Macaca fascicularis: one gene and its partners. The protein of the gene in region 4 interacts with the protein of the main gene of each other region in a biochemical or structural test. Links are inferred from orthologs where the notes say so. Each region holds a gene or a part of one and is shown on either strand. Other genes may lie near its edges. The genes, in order: ACVRL1, SMURF2, MAPK1 and SMAD1.

Region 1 (4,300 bases), on a different chromosome or scaffold from region 4:
TCAGACAACTCATGCGGTCTTGCAGAGGAGAACTGAGACAACATGCACCTCTGTTTTCAAGCGCCAATCATGGTCACCGCCCATAGGCAAAGGAGAGGAGAGAGCACGGGCTGTGCCCACCTGTGAAGGGTCTGCCCCTGCCCTGCCCAGCTCACCCAGGTCAGCAATGCAACACTGCAGGTTGCTCTTGACCAGCACGTTGCGGCTCTTGAAGTCACGGTGGGCAATGGCCGGTTTGCCCTGTGTACCGAAGATCTCCACGTGCAGGTGTGCCAGGCCACAGGCTGCGGACACAGCTAGCCTCAGAGCCAAATGCGGCTCCAGCGTCTGTCTCTGCAGAAAGTCGTAGAGGGAGCCGTGCTCGTGGTAATGCGTGATGAGCCACAGCTGCGTGCTCGAGTTGCGGGAGGTCATGTCTGAGGCGATGAAGCCTGTGCACAGAAGGGTCGGGTGACTCAGCCAAGGGGCTGGGGCTAAGGGAGGCTGGAGTGGTCAGGGTCAGGGTGGGGTCGGGGGAGAGGGAATGGGCTGGGTCACTGCTAAGCAAGGTCTGGGGTGGGGGTTGATGTGGCTTAGGTCAGAGACAGAGCTGGAGTCAGAGGTTGGGTCTGGGCCTGGCTTAGTGGCTTGCACCTGTAACCCCAACACTTTGGGAGGCCAAGGCAGGAGGATTGCTTGAGCCCAGGAATTTGAGACCAGTCTGGGCAACATAGGGAGACCTCGTCTCTACAAAAAATAAAAAAGTTAGCTGGGCATGGTGGCACATGCCTGTGGTCCCAGCTACTCAAGAGGCTGAAGTGGGAGGATCGCTTGAGCTCAAGAGATTGAGGTTCCAGTGAGATTGCACAACTGCATCCCAGCCTGGGTGACAGAGCGAGGCCCTGTCTCAAAAAAAAAAAAAAAAAGAGGTTGGTGCTGCAGGTGGGCTGGGAGTCCTTCAGGGTTCTGTTAATGTCTGGAGGTCTGTGAATTCGAGCCCTGAGTGCAGGAGGGCAAAGCCCCAGGCCTGGCACAGCCGGCCCCTCCCCTTGCCTAGGATGTTGTCGTGTCTGAGCAACACTGTGTTGTAGATCTCAGTCTCCCGGAACCAGGACTGTTCGTCCCTCGAGGAGAAGATCTTGACGGCCACACTCTCACCGTGCCACAAGCCCCGCCACACTTCGCCATAGCGGCCTTTTCCTGATGGCCAGAGGGGAAGGTGAGGGTTACACACTGGGCACACAGAGCCCTGGAGGAGCCCCTCATCTTGATGCTGTGCTGCCTCCCTCGCCCACCCCACCCACAGAACCCCTGACCCTTAGGTTTAAGTTAATCCAGACCCAAACCCAGCGGCAGGCCACCCCCAGCTGCCTCTCGTTCCACCCCGGTCCTGCAGAAAGAACCTAGCCCTGGCCCGTCTCCAGCCCACTCCCTGCCCAGCAGAATTCCAGTTCTGACCCAGGCCTGGCACTGCCTGTGATTCCGGAAGCCAAGAACTCCCTCACCCCTCAAGGCTCATGAGAGCCCTTGGTCCTCATCCACCGGGCTCACCCACTGCTCACCCACACACTCCACCAAGGCAACCTGCCGTGCCACTGTCCTCTGCACCAGGAAGGGGAGCCCCGAGCCACTCCCTGTGGTGCAGTCACTGTCCAGGAGGTCCTGGGGGTATGGAGAGGCCACTCAAAAGCTGCCCTAACCAGCCGCAGCCCCATTCTCCATCCTCAACCTGGGACCTGCTGGGTCACTGCAAGCTCCTCACTCGCCCAGCTCCCCACCGGCTCTACTCTCTGGATGACCCCTCTGATTCCGCAGTTGCTATCTGCCCCACTCCACCCTGTGTCCCAGGTCCCCAGGCCCGTACCCCCAACATGCTGTCGCCCTGCTCAGATGCTTTCAGGATGAGACTGGACTCTCCCAGCTCGCTGTGCAGGCCCCGCTGCTTCTCCTGCCTCCGTCGGACATGCCACAGGCCCACGACACCCAGGGCCACCAGGGCCAGCAAGGCCAGCACGGGGCCCAGGATCAGGGCCAGCTGGCTGTCTGTTCCCGGCTGCTCCGAAGGAGTTTGGGTGGCTGGGGGAGGGGACATTGAGGCTCAGCTTGCACTAGGTCAACTTCCCCCACCTTGGGCAGACCATTCTGCCAGTTAAATCCCAGAGTCTTGCCCGTCCCCCCGCCCCCAGCCCCTTTATTGGCCAGAGCATGAGAGGAAAGGAGGGAAGGGAGGGCAGGGGCCGAGAAGATGGGGAGGGAGTGCTGGGGCAGCTGGACGTACCCTCCAGCACCAGGGACACGTTGCGGTTGCAGAGGTGGCTGTCACAGCAGTAGTGGTTGACGAACTCGGTGGGGCGCCCCCTGCAGAGCTCCCTGTGCAAGTTCCCGCAGCCCCGATGTTCCTGGGGGTGCCTCCCCTCCTCCCGCACCAGCACTACTGTGCACCAGGCCCCCTGGCAGGTAGGCCCCCTGCAATGTGGGCTCTCACATGTGCAGGTCACCAGCGGGCCCCGAGAGGGCTTCACGGGGTCACCTGGGAGACACACCGGAAGCTCAGCCACTCTGGGCCCAGCTCCCCCAGGCTGAGCCTGACACCCATTTCTGTCCCATTGTCCCTCTCGTCTGACCCCCCAGACAAACACCTTGAAGCTTTGGTCCCTTACTTCCATCCTCAGTCATCCTTCCCTCAGAGCCCTCCCCTCAGGGCAGCTGACACTGAGAAGCAGGCTTCTGTCCCCTCCTGGCTCCTAGGTTCTCCCCTCCCAGTTCTAGGCTGGGCTGCGCCCCCAGCCCCAGTCCTGAGAGCGCTCCCAGGCTTGGCCTGCCAACACCTGCTCTCCCTCCGCCCCACATATAGGCTTCCACCCTAGCCTGACAGAGCTCCAGCCTGCAGGTCTGGACCCAGAGGAGAGCAAAGGAGGGCTGGGGTAACTGGGGGCTGAGTTTAATGGAGCCTCACTCTCCTCTATTCTCCAGTCAAGCTCCTAAATTCTCCCCAGTTTCTCAAGTTCAGCCCCAGGCAGAGCTGATCTGGGCCCAGATAGCCCTTTCTCTATCCAGGTTCCTGTTTCCTAACTGCTCCCCCAGTACTCACCCTGGGTCACCAAGGCCATCAGCAGCATCAGAAGGCCTCTCCTCGGGGAGCCCAAGGTCATGGTCCCTGCAGAGAGGAGCAAGAGAGGTGGAGTAAGAGCTGCAAAATGTGACAGCCGCCAGCTGTGGCTCCCTCCCGCCCAGAGGAAATCACAGAGAGTTTTTTTTGGAGGGGAGGCAGGGAGGCCGCCTCCCTACTCCCTGCCGCCTAGCTTTGGGGCGGGGCCTGCAAGGGAAGTCCTGGTTCACTTCCCCATGGAAACCATCCTGTTAGAGGTGAAGGGTGGAGAGCCATGTTTAAGTGACCGAGAGCTTGGGGAAACCCTAGCTCTGCACCCCTGCTGCTGAGCTCAGACTGGAGGCAGGTTGGGAGAGGCGCAGGGAGCACCCAGTTGGGGTAGAAGGAGCATCTCTCCAGCAGCTCCCCTTCTGTTCTGTGTCTCTTTCCCACACCCTCACAGCCTTCACCCCTGCCTACCCTTTCCCAGTGCCCCCCCAGCCCTGGCTGCCTCAAACATAAACAGGCTCCTGTCTTCACTTCCTGCCATTCAGGGTCCTGCCAAGCCAGGAACAGGAATCAAGATTGTTTAGATTGGGGTCTGGATAGAACAGGCAGGAGTCACGCACAGCAGGGATCTAAGGGCATATTTTCAGGGTGGGCTGCAGCAGCCATAGGGTCTGGAGAGGCTATTTAAATATGCCCTTAGTTCCTTGCTACCCTTAGTTCCTTGTGCCTGGGACACCCACATGACAGAATTCTAGGTGGATCACAAAATCCAGCTCCTTGTTTTACAGAAGAAAGGATTAAGGCTTATACAGGGAAGAAGACTTGTCCCGGGTCAGACAGGACTCACTGGCACCAGCAGGAGTACAACCCAGGCTTCCAGACTCCTAGTCAAGTGCTCTCCCCACACTGTCCCTATCCAGTGGTGGCAGCCCATGTCTGAGCCCTCAGGCTGTAACAACCACGCAAAGCTTGGATGGCGCCGGGTCATGCCAGGTGTAGAGGAACCTCTCTGCAAGCTCACCAGAGTATAAGCTGCCCTCTCAGAGTCATTCCCTGGCCCCCTTCTCTCCCCTTGCCATCTAGGAAAGGGTGGGTGGAGGGCCAGTGATGTGGCAGGGGAAGTGAAACACACTTAGACACTGAATGTTTGACCTTCCATGGCTGACTAGGGTTGAACTTTTTCAGAAGTTTGTTGAAGAGTGTCAGGGGGAGTAATTCCGGTCT
Region 2 (3,562 bases), on a different chromosome or scaffold from region 4:
GTTTCTTCTCATTTTTGGTTTGAGGATTATCTACCTCCTCTTCTCCCACAGACCTCCCTCAAATAGAAACAAAACACCCAACACATTCAAATTACATTTACAAGTAAAATCAGAAAAAATAGTCATTTTTGAGTGAAAGAGCTCTTTATTCTAGTTATTGGCATGTATGCTGTAAGTTTAGAAAGAAATTTCATCAAGACTCAAGTAGACGTCCTGTTTCCTGGGAGCTTCTCTGATTCGAAGGGTTGCTCTGCTGATGCTGCTGCTGTTAGTAGAAGTTTACCACTTTTCATCAACACTGAACTGTGTCACACCTCAGGGATCATTTATCCCCATTAGTCTGAGATTTATTTTTAGACTTTAGGCTAAATTATTAATGTTAGATGCTTGTAAAATGCAATGTTGCTAAAGTAGAGATTTATAATAATTACCAGATCTGAAAATATATGTGATTATACCCAATCCTGCCTAATGTTTACAGGCTCTATGTGAACTGGAGATTTTTACGAGGCATTGAGGCTCAATTCCTGGCTCTGCAGAAAGGATTTAATGAAGTAATTCCACAACATTTGCTGAAGACATTTGATGAGAAGGAGTTAGAGGTTAGTGCATTAGTAGTATAACATCACTAGTATAACAAGAAAGGATTGGGAATTATTTTGTTACTTAATTTTATAGGAAAGTCATATTTCTGGTACTTTCTAAGTTTCATGGTTCTATGCTTGAGAATTCTTATTCACAGGAAAAGTCTTTCATGCTTTTGAAGGCCTTTCATCCTTTGGAATTTCTGTGAGTGAACAATCTCTCTCCTCTCCTCTCCTCTCCTCCCCTCTCCCCTCTCCCCTCTCCCCTCTCCCCTCTCCCCTCTCCCCTCTCCCCTCTCCCCTCTCCCCTCTCCCCTCTCCCCTCTCCCCTCTCCCCTCATTTTTTCTGAGACAGGGTCTCACTCCGTCACCCAGGCTGGGGTGCAGTGGTGCAGTCATGGCTCACTGCAGCCTTGGCCTCGTGGGCTCAAATGATCCTTCCACCTCAGCCCCCCAAGTAGCTGGGACTACAAGCATGCACCAGCACGCCTGGCTAATTTTCTTGTTTTTTTTTTTTTTTTTTTTTTTTTGGTAGAGACAAGGTTTTGCCATGTTTCCCAGGCTGATCTCAAACTCCTGAGCTCAAGTGATCTGCCTGCCTTGGCCTCCCAAAGTGCTAGGATTATAGGCTTGAGCCACCATGCCCGGCTTGAGCAATCTCTCTTATATTGTGAACATTTAAAATTTATTTTTCTATCCTGTACTTTCTTATTTTAAACAGATTTCATGACTTATATGTACATTCTTCCAATATATATTTATTCCTTAACTTAGTAGTTACTGATTTAGTTAAGTAAAACCTCATTAATCTACCATATTGAAATTAATTTGGGTAAGAGCCTACTCTCAGTTGGTTTTACACTAAGCTTGCAAGAAAGCATTTGATAGACAAGATCACTGAGAAAATAACTAAAACACCTAGGAGAAATTGTATCTTTTTTTTTGAGACAGAATCGCCCAGGCTGGAGAGCAGTGGCATGATCTAGGCTCACTGCAACCTCCACCTCCTGGGTTCAAGTGATTCTCCTGCCTCAGCCTCCCAAGTAGCTGGGACTACAGGCACCCGCAACCACGCCCGGCTGATTTTTATATTAGTAGAAACAGGGTTTCACCACATTGGCCAGGCTGGTCTGGGACTCCTGACCTCAAATGATCCACCCACTCTGGCCTTCCAAAGTGCTCAGATTACAGGTGTAAGCCACCGTACCTGGCCTCTAAATGTCTTTAGATTAACAGCCATACAAAACAGTTAATAGTTTTTTGTTTCCTTTTAAAGCTGTCCCTTAAACACCTCAGGTCTGGTTTTGTAATTAAGACCTTTGACAAATACATCTGAATTTCCTACTGAACTACTAAGAAACATGAGGTTTAATTCTATTCAGGCTCCCACATTTATTTAGTAGTTAGGGATAACACAAATATTTGAAGTCTACTAATAATTTGAAACATGATTTTATTCACTGCCTTCAATGTCCTTTCTAACTAAATCTGTTAATAGACCTGTTAGCAAACAAATCTAAAAAGGTTGGTCTTACTTAATACTCTCCCCATTCCTTTTGTGATTGAATTGTTCATAGTAAAATAGCCAGAAGGAAGTAGTTGGAGGAGAACGCAGCAGGAATGCCGATAAGGTTGCAATATAATGCATTTTCATCTCTTTACACAATAAACAAGGATTTGGCCTTCTAACTGCCATTCCTCTGAGGAAAAGAATTTAGGAGGAGTCTTTTATGTCATTAAACACACCCATAATCCTTTTCGGATAACCTCCTCCCTGTTCAGTGTGGTGTTAACTCAGTGAACCCTGTAGAAGCTTTGTTGGAGATTTTATTTCAGAACCCTATGGAAGCCTTACTGGAGACTTTATTTGGTAGGGTTAGGGTTTTGAATATAGTTTCTACTGCTAATGAGTCATTATACTTTTTCTTTTTCTTTTTTTTTTTTTTTTTTTGTGGAGACAGAATCTCACTCTGTCGCCCAGGCTGGAGTGCAGTGGCGCAATCTCTGCTTACCGCAACCTCCGCCTCCCGGGTTCAAGCGATTCTCCTGCCTCAGTCTCCCGAGTAACTGGAACTTCAGGTGTGCACGACCATGCCTGGCTAATTTTTGTAGTTTTAGTAGAGAGGGGGTTTCACCATGTTGCCCAGGCCGGTCTCAAACTCCTGAGCTCAGGCAGTCCACCTGCCTCTGCCTCCCAAAGTGTTAGGATTACAGGCATGAGCCATCGCACCGGGCCTGAATCATTAAACTTTGTATTTTTATTTTTGAGATAGAGTCTCACTCTGTTGCCCAGGCTGGAGTGCAGTAGCATGATCCTAGCTCACGGTTAACTCCTATGCTGAAGTGATCCTCCCACCTCAGCCTCCCCGGTAACTGGGACTACAGGTGTGCACCACCACACCTGGCTAACAGTTTTTTGGGGTTTTTGTTTTTTTTTTTTTTTTTGGAGAGACAGTCTTACTTTGTCCCCCAGGCTGACAGGATCTCGGCTCCCTACAACCTCCACTTCCCAGGTTCAAGTATTCTCAAGCCTTGGGATTACAGGTGCTCACCACCACGCCCGGCTACCTTTTTGTATTTTTAGTAGATACAGGGTTTCACCATGTTGGCCAGGCTGGTCTTGAACTCCTGACCTCAAGTGATCTGCATGCCTTGTCCCCCCAAAGTGCTGGGCTTACAGGCGTGAGCCACCACACCCTACCCATTTTTAAAGACGATATGTATAACATTTATTTTAGTGGTGTATACATTAATCTTGGGTTTAATTAATTCTATAAAATCTAGGATTTGCAAGTTATGTTTTATAGTACACATGGAATTCGCTATTATAAACATGTTAGATTAGTATGGTGAGTTAGTCTTGGACCCTAGGGAGATGTATTAGTAATATCAAAATGATTTGGATATAGTTCATCTGTGTGACCCTCCCATCAGGATGTGTTTAGCAGAGGTCTGTATCAATGTGCTCATGTATTTTG
Region 3 (3,562 bases), on a different chromosome or scaffold from region 4:
TTTAATGCCATCTGTCTTTCTCTCTCTTTTAAGCTCTGCTTATGATAATGTCAACAAAGTTCGAGTAGCTATCAAGAAAATCAGCCCCTTTGAGCACCAGACCTACTGCCAGAGAACCCTGCGGGAGATAAAAATCTTACTGCGCTTCAGACATGAGAACATCATTGGAATCAATGACATTATTCGAGCACCAACCATCGAGCAAATGAAAGATGTGTATCCTTTTTAGGCAACTAGCCAATTCCACTGCTTGGTAACTTTGTTGAGTAAATAGAACTTGAAATTTCCTAAACTTAAAGGAAAAGTGCTTTAAACATGCTAAAGGGAAAATCGTAATCTGTTTGCTATTTACTCCCTAAGTCTAGTCATGGAAAATCTTGGTTAACTCCATTTGCAGTCATGTTTTTTTCTGTCTAAGAGATGGTTTGTTGTGATGATGAAAAGGTAAAGGGAAGATCAGTAGTAGACTAAGAAAGAGGGTGCCCTGGCTATCTACCGGGTGAAATTAGGACTGTCCTGATCTTAGAATCAGGTCACCACTTTAGGTCTCAGTTTCCCCTCCTTTAAAATGAAGGAACTAGTTGTCATGATCTTTAAGGTCAACTGGGCTCTGAAATTATGTGATTAACTATGACCAACATTTAGATATCTGGACTGAATAGGTCTAGAGGATGCTGCCTGGGCAAAGACTCCATTTGAAAGATAGAGAGGTTAAGTATACTGAAGAGGATCTGCCAGAAGGGAGAGGGTTATACAGCACTCCTATCAGTTTACCCAATTTGTATTCCACCCTCCAGGGTGCGGGAGCTCGCTGTCTCTAGGCAGCCTTTCCATTTTTAAACAGCTCTGTTAATAAGTTGTAGTGATATTTGAAGTGAAATGCCTCCTGCCACTACCACCTGTTGGTCCTACTTTACTTTTGCCATGAAAATAAGCCTCTCTCAAATGACAGATTTTAAAATCATGTTTCCTTTGAATCCCATGCTGCGCCGCCTCTAGCATAAATCTGTAAGAAACGGAGAATATTATTTACACAGAGAGAGTAAAAAAAAATGCAGAAATACTGCTAATGAAATAATACTATGATGAAGTTAAAGGCTAAATGCTTTAATAATTTAATTTCTGTTAGAAAGAAAGTAGCCAGCCGGGCGCGGTGGCTCAAGCCTGTAATCCCAGCACTTTGGGAGGCCGAGGCGGGCGGATCACAAGGTCAGGAGATCGAGACCACAGTGAAACCCCGTGTCTACTAAAAATACAAAAAATTAGCCGGGCGCGGTGGCGGGCGCCTGTAGTCCTAGCTACTCAGGAGGCTGAGGCAGGAGAATGGCGTGAACCCAGGAGGCGGAGCTTGCAGTGAGCCGAGATCACGCCACTGCACTCCAGCCTGGGCAACAGCGTGAGACTCCGTCTCAAAAAAAAAAAAAAAAAAAAAAAGAAAGAAAGAAAGTAGCCATAGCTGAAGTTTTAGGTAGTTAAATAAGTGACCAGGCAAGAAAGCAAGAGGAGCAAAACACGCACAAACCCCTTCTTAGCACGACTTGCCCATAGTCTTATTTATTTAGGATCTTAACAGTTATGGGAGAGTAAGAAAATAGATAGACTTAGGGTTGGATTTACTAGTAAGGGTATGTTTCTAGACCTGTATTTCTGGAAGTTTTATGTTTGGCTTTTGAGGAACTTGGGAAAGGAGGGGAGCGGCAACAAAAAGGAAAAAGAATAGTGACATTACAGGTTACTGGACCAAACAGAGGAGGGAATATGTGCTACTTACAGGCCACCAGTATTTCCAACAAACCTTGGAGGGGGTTCGTTGATGGTGGACAATTTAGAGAACAAAGAGGTTGAGACTTGAAGATTGACCAGAATTTCTGTAACAGCCTGTTTCAGATCTCAGTCTAGGCCCATAGCTGCATCAGTCAGATGTAATGCCGTAATTCTTGCCATCTCACAGGACCGAAAAGAAGTTAACGACTTCAGGTTCCTTCCATGAAAGAAACCAAGTTTTCCTCAGGTTTTTCTTTCCTTTAAGGGCCTCATAGTGTAATAATGGACTGTTTGGGAAGAGAGTCAAGAGAGGACGCATTTTTGTTTTCAACGCTTTGCTAAATATGACCAGCTAATTGGTGTTTTACTTAACCTTTGCAAACAGATATATAGTACAAGACCTCATGGAAACAGATCTTTACAAGCTCTTGAAGACACAACACCTCAGCAACGACCATATCTGCTATTTTCTTTACCAGATCCTCAGAGGGTTAAAATATATCCATTCAGCTAACGTTCTGCACCGTGACCTCAAGCCTTCCAACCTGCTGCTCAACACCACCTGTGATCTCAAGGTCAGCCAGGTTATTAACTATTAAGCTGATATATATTGAAAAACTCTTTCACTGAAGCGTAGTTATATTTGTCATTATCGTATTTTAAATGACACCAGAAATGCCCAAAAACATTTTTATGGCAAAAATGCTAGTAGAGTGATAGTCCTCTTCTTCCTTATCCCATTGCTCCTTTTTCCCCAGAGATACTTTTTTTTTTCTTTTTTTTTTTTAAGATAGAGTCTTAGTATGTTGCCCAGCCTGGTCTGAACTCCTGGGCTCAAGCAGTCCTCCTTTCTCGGCCTCCCAGAGTGCTGGGATTACATACATGGGCCACAGCACCAGGCCAAGATAACTAACTACTGTAACAAATTGGTGGCCGGTTGCAGTGGCTCACACCTGTAATCCTAGCACCTTGGGAGGCCGAGGTGGGTGGAGCACCTGAGGTCAGGAGTTCGAGACCAGCCTGGCCAACATAGCGAAACCCCATTTCTACTAAAAATACAAAAATCAGCTGGGCATGGTGGCACGCGCCTGTAATCCCAGCTACATGGGAACTGAGGCAGGAGAACCGCTTGAACCTGGGAAGCGGAGGTTGCAGGGAGCCGAGATCACACCACTGCACACCAGCCTGAGTGACAGAGCAAAACTCCGTCCTCAAAAAACAAACAAAAAACAAATTGGTGTATTTTCTCCCAAAGTATTTTCTATGCTCTTACATACATGTGTACTTTTATACTTTATGTAGGTAAACAGGATCATGTACATTATGTATTAGTTTTAAAATCATCTGTTTCGTTGGTAACATTTTTGTTCAATACATTTTATTCAAAAGATAGCAGCATGAAACTTAACCTCACTGACTTTAATACCTAATATGGCATTCCAACTAAATAAGAAAACCTCAAATTCTTTACAGTCCTCAGAGTTCTCCTGAAAATGTGCAGCATTTACATATTTCTATTTTAATGGGAGTCGCAGGTAAACAAGGAGGGAAATTTATGGATATCTTAGATGTGATAGAGCGATGTCGATTCAGTCTAAAAAAATGCACAGGAATTCAAGAAGACCTAAATAAATGGGAAGATATCCCATGTCCGTGGATCATAAGACTTAATACTGTTAAGATGGCAGTATTCTCCAAATTGATCTGCAGATTTAGTGTAATCCCTATCAAAGCCCCAGCTGTTTTTTTTCTATAGAAATTGACAGGCTGATCCTAAACTTCATATGGAAATTCATAT
Region 4 (4,282 bases):
CCATTCAGGATCCAATCAAGGTCATATACTGCATTTCATTGTCATACTTTTTTTTAATAGCTTGAGGTGAAATTCACATACCAAATGATTGACCCATTTAAAGTGTACAATTTAAAGGTTTTTGATATATCCACAGAGTTGCGCAACCATCACCAGAAACTAGTTTTAGAACAATTTTGTCACCCCATAACCTTTAGCAGTCACTCCTCAGGTTCCTCATTTCCCCAACCCTATGCAAACCACCAAACTACTTTCTGTCTCCATAGCCTTGCCTACTCTGAGCATTTCACATATGTGGAAGAATACAACGTGTGGTCTGTCTTCTTCCACTTCACATGTTTTGAAAGGTTATCCATGTAGCATGCATCAGTATCAGTACTTCATTTCTTTTTATGGCTGAATAATGTTCTCTTGTATGGGATACTTTATACTATTTATCAAGGGAGGGTTTTCAATAGGGGAGTGGCCTGATCTGAGTGGCATTTAACAAGGTTCACTTTCCTGTTGTTCTAAGGAGCAAAGGATGATCAACTGCGTCAAACGCTGCTTTTAGGGAAAATAAGATGAGGCCCACGAATTGACCAGTAAGTGCTCAAATAGGTTAAGGGAAAAAGGAATTTAATTAGAAGGCATATTCTGACTGCTGGGAGTGATTTTTTTTATTTTTTATTTTTTATTTTTATTTTTTTGCTTCATGTGAAATTTATTCCTCAAAAAAATCATTCTTGTCTAACTGTAACTCAACATTATAGTAATTATCCAAGATTTTATGCAGTTTCAAGAGTTAGCCAAGAGAAAAGTTGACTCTTAGAAGATATTTTCAGTGTCTATGCAGATCAGGTTGGTAAGAGTTAAGTGCGAAGGAGTTGGCATCATCTAAAAGACTGTAAAAATTGGACCAAAAATGTGGAGTGTTAAAGCAGTATCTCCTTGTGGCATGTCATTTAGAGCAACAAGGTTACCTACTCGAATCACTGGATCCTGAGTTGACATAAAACGCATCTGTTGACTCAGGGTTTGTATAAGCACGTGCAGTAGTTACTAGGCTATCCAATTCTGGGTACGTACAACTTCTGGGGCGTGCAAATTATTGGAGAGTGCGTGAGGGGCAACGAAAACTAGACATAAAAGGGCGCGTCTCCAAGGATAACTGTCAACAGGCACTCCACGTTTATAGAACGATTCGGTGGGCGCGGTGGAAGCATTAATGAACATTTCAGAAAATAAAAACATGGAGTATCGAAATTCACTTGCAGATAATGGACCAAGTCCACTCCACCGGGACTAAAAAGGCAGGGTTAGGAAAGCCTGAACTCCGCGACACTGTTTTTTCTCCAGGAATAAACGGGACGTGGGGCTGCGGGTAGAAGGGGGTGGCTCCGGCCGCTCCCCCGCGCCGTCCTCCGGCCCCGGCCGTGCTGCGCTCACGCCGGTCGGGCCGGGAATTTGGAGAGGATCCCTGGTCGCGCGGCAGCGGCGGCGGCGCGCGGGTGAGCGGGTGAGCGTGTGAGCGAGCGGGCGGGCGGGCAGGCGAGTGCGCCGGGTATTGGCAGCCGAGGAGTGGAGGCTGGGCGGCTCCGACTCCCTGACGCCAGCGCGACCAGATCAATCCAGGCTCCAGGAGAGAGCAGGCGGGCGGGCGGAGAAAGGAGAGGCCGAACGGCTCAACCCGGGCCGAGGCTCGGGGAGGGACCCTGGGAGCGGAGCGCGGCGCAGCGCCCGGCCGGCCAGACCCGGGCCGCGGGACCCCGCTCGCCCGGCCACTCGTGCGCCCGCGCGGACTGGCGCGCCGCTAACCCGGTAAAACGAAACAGACCCAAACCCAACTTTCCCTTCATGCCGCGTCGCCGCCCTCCCCTCGGCGCCCCAGGCTTTCCAGCGCCGCCGCCGTCGCCTCTGCACGCGTGGGGCCACCGCGGTCGTGCTGGGCTGGGGGCGCGGGCGGCGGCGGGGAGGGGGCTCTTTCTGCGCCGGGCGGGCCGCGAACCCCCCACCCCCCATGATGGCGCCTCCCTGCCGCTCTGAGGAGCGAACCTGCCACCGCGTCTTCTTCTCGTGCCCAGCCCGCCGGGCACCCCTGGTGTCTTTGTTGGGTCGTCTGCCGTGGGAAGCCCAGTTCCCGGGCCCCCAAGCCTCGGCCCTCGGGCCCGACCGCGCTGGGACCTCCCCGGCCGCGCTCCCCCTCCGCGCGCTCCTCACATCTCTCCCGTGCGGCAGCCGGGCCGAGGCCCGTTCGCGCGGCCCGCGGACCCATTGTGTCCCCCGCGCCGGCGGGGCGACTCCTGAGGGAGCTGGAGGACGACCGCCTGCGCTGCCCTCCAAGGCGCCTGGTGGAGCGGGTCTCGCGGGCGGGGGACCCCGGCGGCCCGGGCCCCTCCACATCCCGCACGGGTTTCCTTCTCGGCCCCAGCGAGCCTCTTTGGGGTCGAGGTCAAGGAAAGTTCGCACCGAAATCCCCTCTAATTTATTCAAAGGTTTGGCGGCGGCGCGTAATTTTTTCCCCCTCTTCCGCCTACACCCGCTGCGTCTCCTGGTGTCTCATTCCTTTCCCTTTACCGGAGTCGATTGCCTCACTGCATGTGTATTCGTGAGTTCGCGGTTGAACAACTGTTCCTTTACTCTGCTCTCTGTCTTTGTTAGTGTTTCTCGGGGTTGTTTCTGTAGGAAGGTGGGGGTGGTGGGCGTGAGAGACAGACGTGGGCTTGTTTTTCTAGTTGCTGAAGCTGTATGAAGGCTTTAAAGGGAGAACGTTTCCTTGATGTGCTTTAGGAGGGGAGGAGGAACAAATGCCTGCCAGATCTCACAACTACAGTAGCTGAGCTTTTGTTTATTTTGAAGCGCATGCAATTTTTAAATACACGGTGCAAGATAACCAGTAAAGGCTCGTTCCTTCTGAAAATTGAGGCCGGTCTCAACCATCTCCTGAGAAAGCATCGTTTTCGTGAGTGCTGAGACAACTGTCCTTTTTCTCTGCCCTCCCCCCTCTTTTCTTTCCATTGTATCTGAAGTTTCAAAGTACGTGGAATGATAAAGAAGTTGCATGATTTCTGTTATGTCTTCCTGTTGCTGCAACTCTCAGCGGCTAAATCTCAGAATGCCTTTATTTCAGAACATCTCTGGGTCTAATTGTCTGTTGTGGATAACTTGCCCACACCTCGGTAACACAATGAGAAAACTGTTCCCTGCCCATGTTGATTTTTCATCTTGTTTGTAATTACTTTAAATTGTACTGAAGGTGGGTGAGCTGTATTAAAGAAGAATCGGGGCAGAAGTGTTCACTGCCCCAGCATTTTCAATTGGTGTAAATATTGTTGCATCAGTGTTATTCTGATGTAGGTGCCAGATCTAAATATGCTGTACTGATTAAAGTGTTTGTTCTGCCCTCTCCCACTCTCTTTCCTATTTGCAGTTATTTGATATTTCTGTGCAGGTGGTGTATCATTGGTGTAATACTGCAGTTCTTAGGAAAGTGTAACTAGGGTCGTGAGAGATGATTTTTCTGAAGATGGGTGATGCCAGAGCCTCTAGAGGATCCAGGCAGGATCAGGTTTCTTCTGAGGGTAGGGATTTGTCCTTGATTTAGTTTTGACCCCTACAACCATAGGTATGTAACCAAATACATTTTACCCCTTGCAGTATCCTTTGATTTCATATCCTTGAAGAGCTGATGACCTTTGTGTTTTAGAAAAATGACAGTTTTTAGGCAATTAGAGACATTGACGTCTTACACTTCTTGGAATTTAATTTTATTTCTACTAAGTTCATTAAGGCATTAAGAGGAAGTAAGTCACATTTTCTCAACTACGTTGATTACATTTATTAGTTAAAAACTAAATTTCACTTTGTAATTTTGATTTCTAGCAATTCTGGGTTAAAGATAAAATCTAATAACTTAGTGGATTGGAAAAAGAAGTAACTTGGGTGTAATTAGACAAGCATGTTTAAGCTGCAGTAGCCTACATAATCAAGGCCAAGTGTGTGTGTGTATAAAAGATCTCATTTGTGTAGTCTTACAAGGCTAATGGAGGCATCACTGAGGCTTTATAAATAATGTAAGTTGGGTATAATGTAGAGTCTCCAGAGACAGCAGAGAAAGCATCATTACCAGCCTTTTCAACCTGCTTGAGATCTTAAATTGATTTACAGCACTGAACTGGTGCAAAATGATACATCAGGATGACATGGGGTCAGCCTGTAAAAGTCTATGATGTCAGCCTATTAGTTCAGTCATCATAATTAAACCATATTACAGGGGTAGCTAAGCAGGAGTCTGGCGTTATAC

Evidence for each region.
Region 1: of the proteins of SMAD1 (region 4) and ACVRL1, one has a biochemical effect on the other in vitro, tested with the Homo sapiens proteins (2 studies listed by BioGRID). The link is inferred for Macaca fascicularis from reciprocal best matches to the Homo sapiens genes SMAD1 and ACVRL1.
Region 2: the proteins of SMAD1 (region 4) and SMURF2 form a complex in vitro, tested with the Homo sapiens proteins (2 studies listed by BioGRID and IntAct, with this or other methods). The link is inferred for Macaca fascicularis from reciprocal best matches to the Homo sapiens genes SMAD1 and SMURF2.
Region 3: of the proteins of SMAD1 (region 4) and MAPK1, one has a biochemical effect on the other in vitro, tested with the Homo sapiens proteins (3 studies listed by BioGRID). The link is inferred for Macaca fascicularis from reciprocal best matches to the Homo sapiens genes SMAD1 and MAPK1.

Annotation. Positions count from the first base shown.
Region 1 is NC_088385.1:58,748,154-58,752,453, reverse strand, and holds the start of ACVRL1 (activin receptor type-1-like), read right to left. Parts: upstream 2,841-4,300; 5' UTR 2,646-2,840; coding exon 2,258-2,645; intron 2,056-2,257; coding exon 1,844-2,055; intron 1,642-1,843; coding exon 1,542-1,641; intron 1,180-1,541; coding exon 1,033-1,179; intron 432-1,032; coding exon 156-431; intron 1-155. UniProt on the Homo sapiens protein: Type I receptor for TGF-beta family ligands BMP9/GDF2 and BMP10 and important regulator of normal blood vessel development. On ligand binding, forms a receptor complex consisting of two type II and two type I transmembrane serine/threonine kinases.
Region 2 is NC_088390.1:71,142,354-71,145,915, reverse strand, and holds part of SMURF2 (E3 ubiquitin-protein ligase SMURF2), read left to right. Parts: intron 1-481; coding exon 482-602; intron 603-3,562. UniProt on the Homo sapiens protein: E3 ubiquitin-protein ligase which accepts ubiquitin from an E2 ubiquitin-conjugating enzyme in the form of a thioester and then directly transfers the ubiquitin to targeted substrates.
Region 3 is NC_088384.1:31,317,808-31,321,369, forward strand, and holds part of MAPK1 (mitogen-activated protein kinase 1), read left to right. Parts: intron 1-33; coding exon 34-216; intron 217-2,149; coding exon 2,150-2,339; intron 2,340-3,562. UniProt on the Homo sapiens protein: Serine/threonine kinase which acts as an essential component of the MAP kinase signal transduction pathway. MAPK1/ERK2 and MAPK3/ERK1 are the 2 MAPKs which play an important role in the MAPK/ERK cascade.
Region 4 is NC_088379.1:150,367,330-150,371,611, forward strand, and holds the start of SMAD1 (mothers against decapentaplegic homolog 1), read left to right. Parts: upstream 1-1,441; 5' UTR 1,442-1,498; intron 1,499-1,602; exon of another isoform or gene 1,603-1,800; intron 1,801-2,540; exon of another isoform or gene 2,541-2,941; intron 2,942-4,282. UniProt on the Homo sapiens protein: Transcriptional modulator that plays a role in various cellular processes, including embryonic development, cell differentiation, and tissue homeostasis.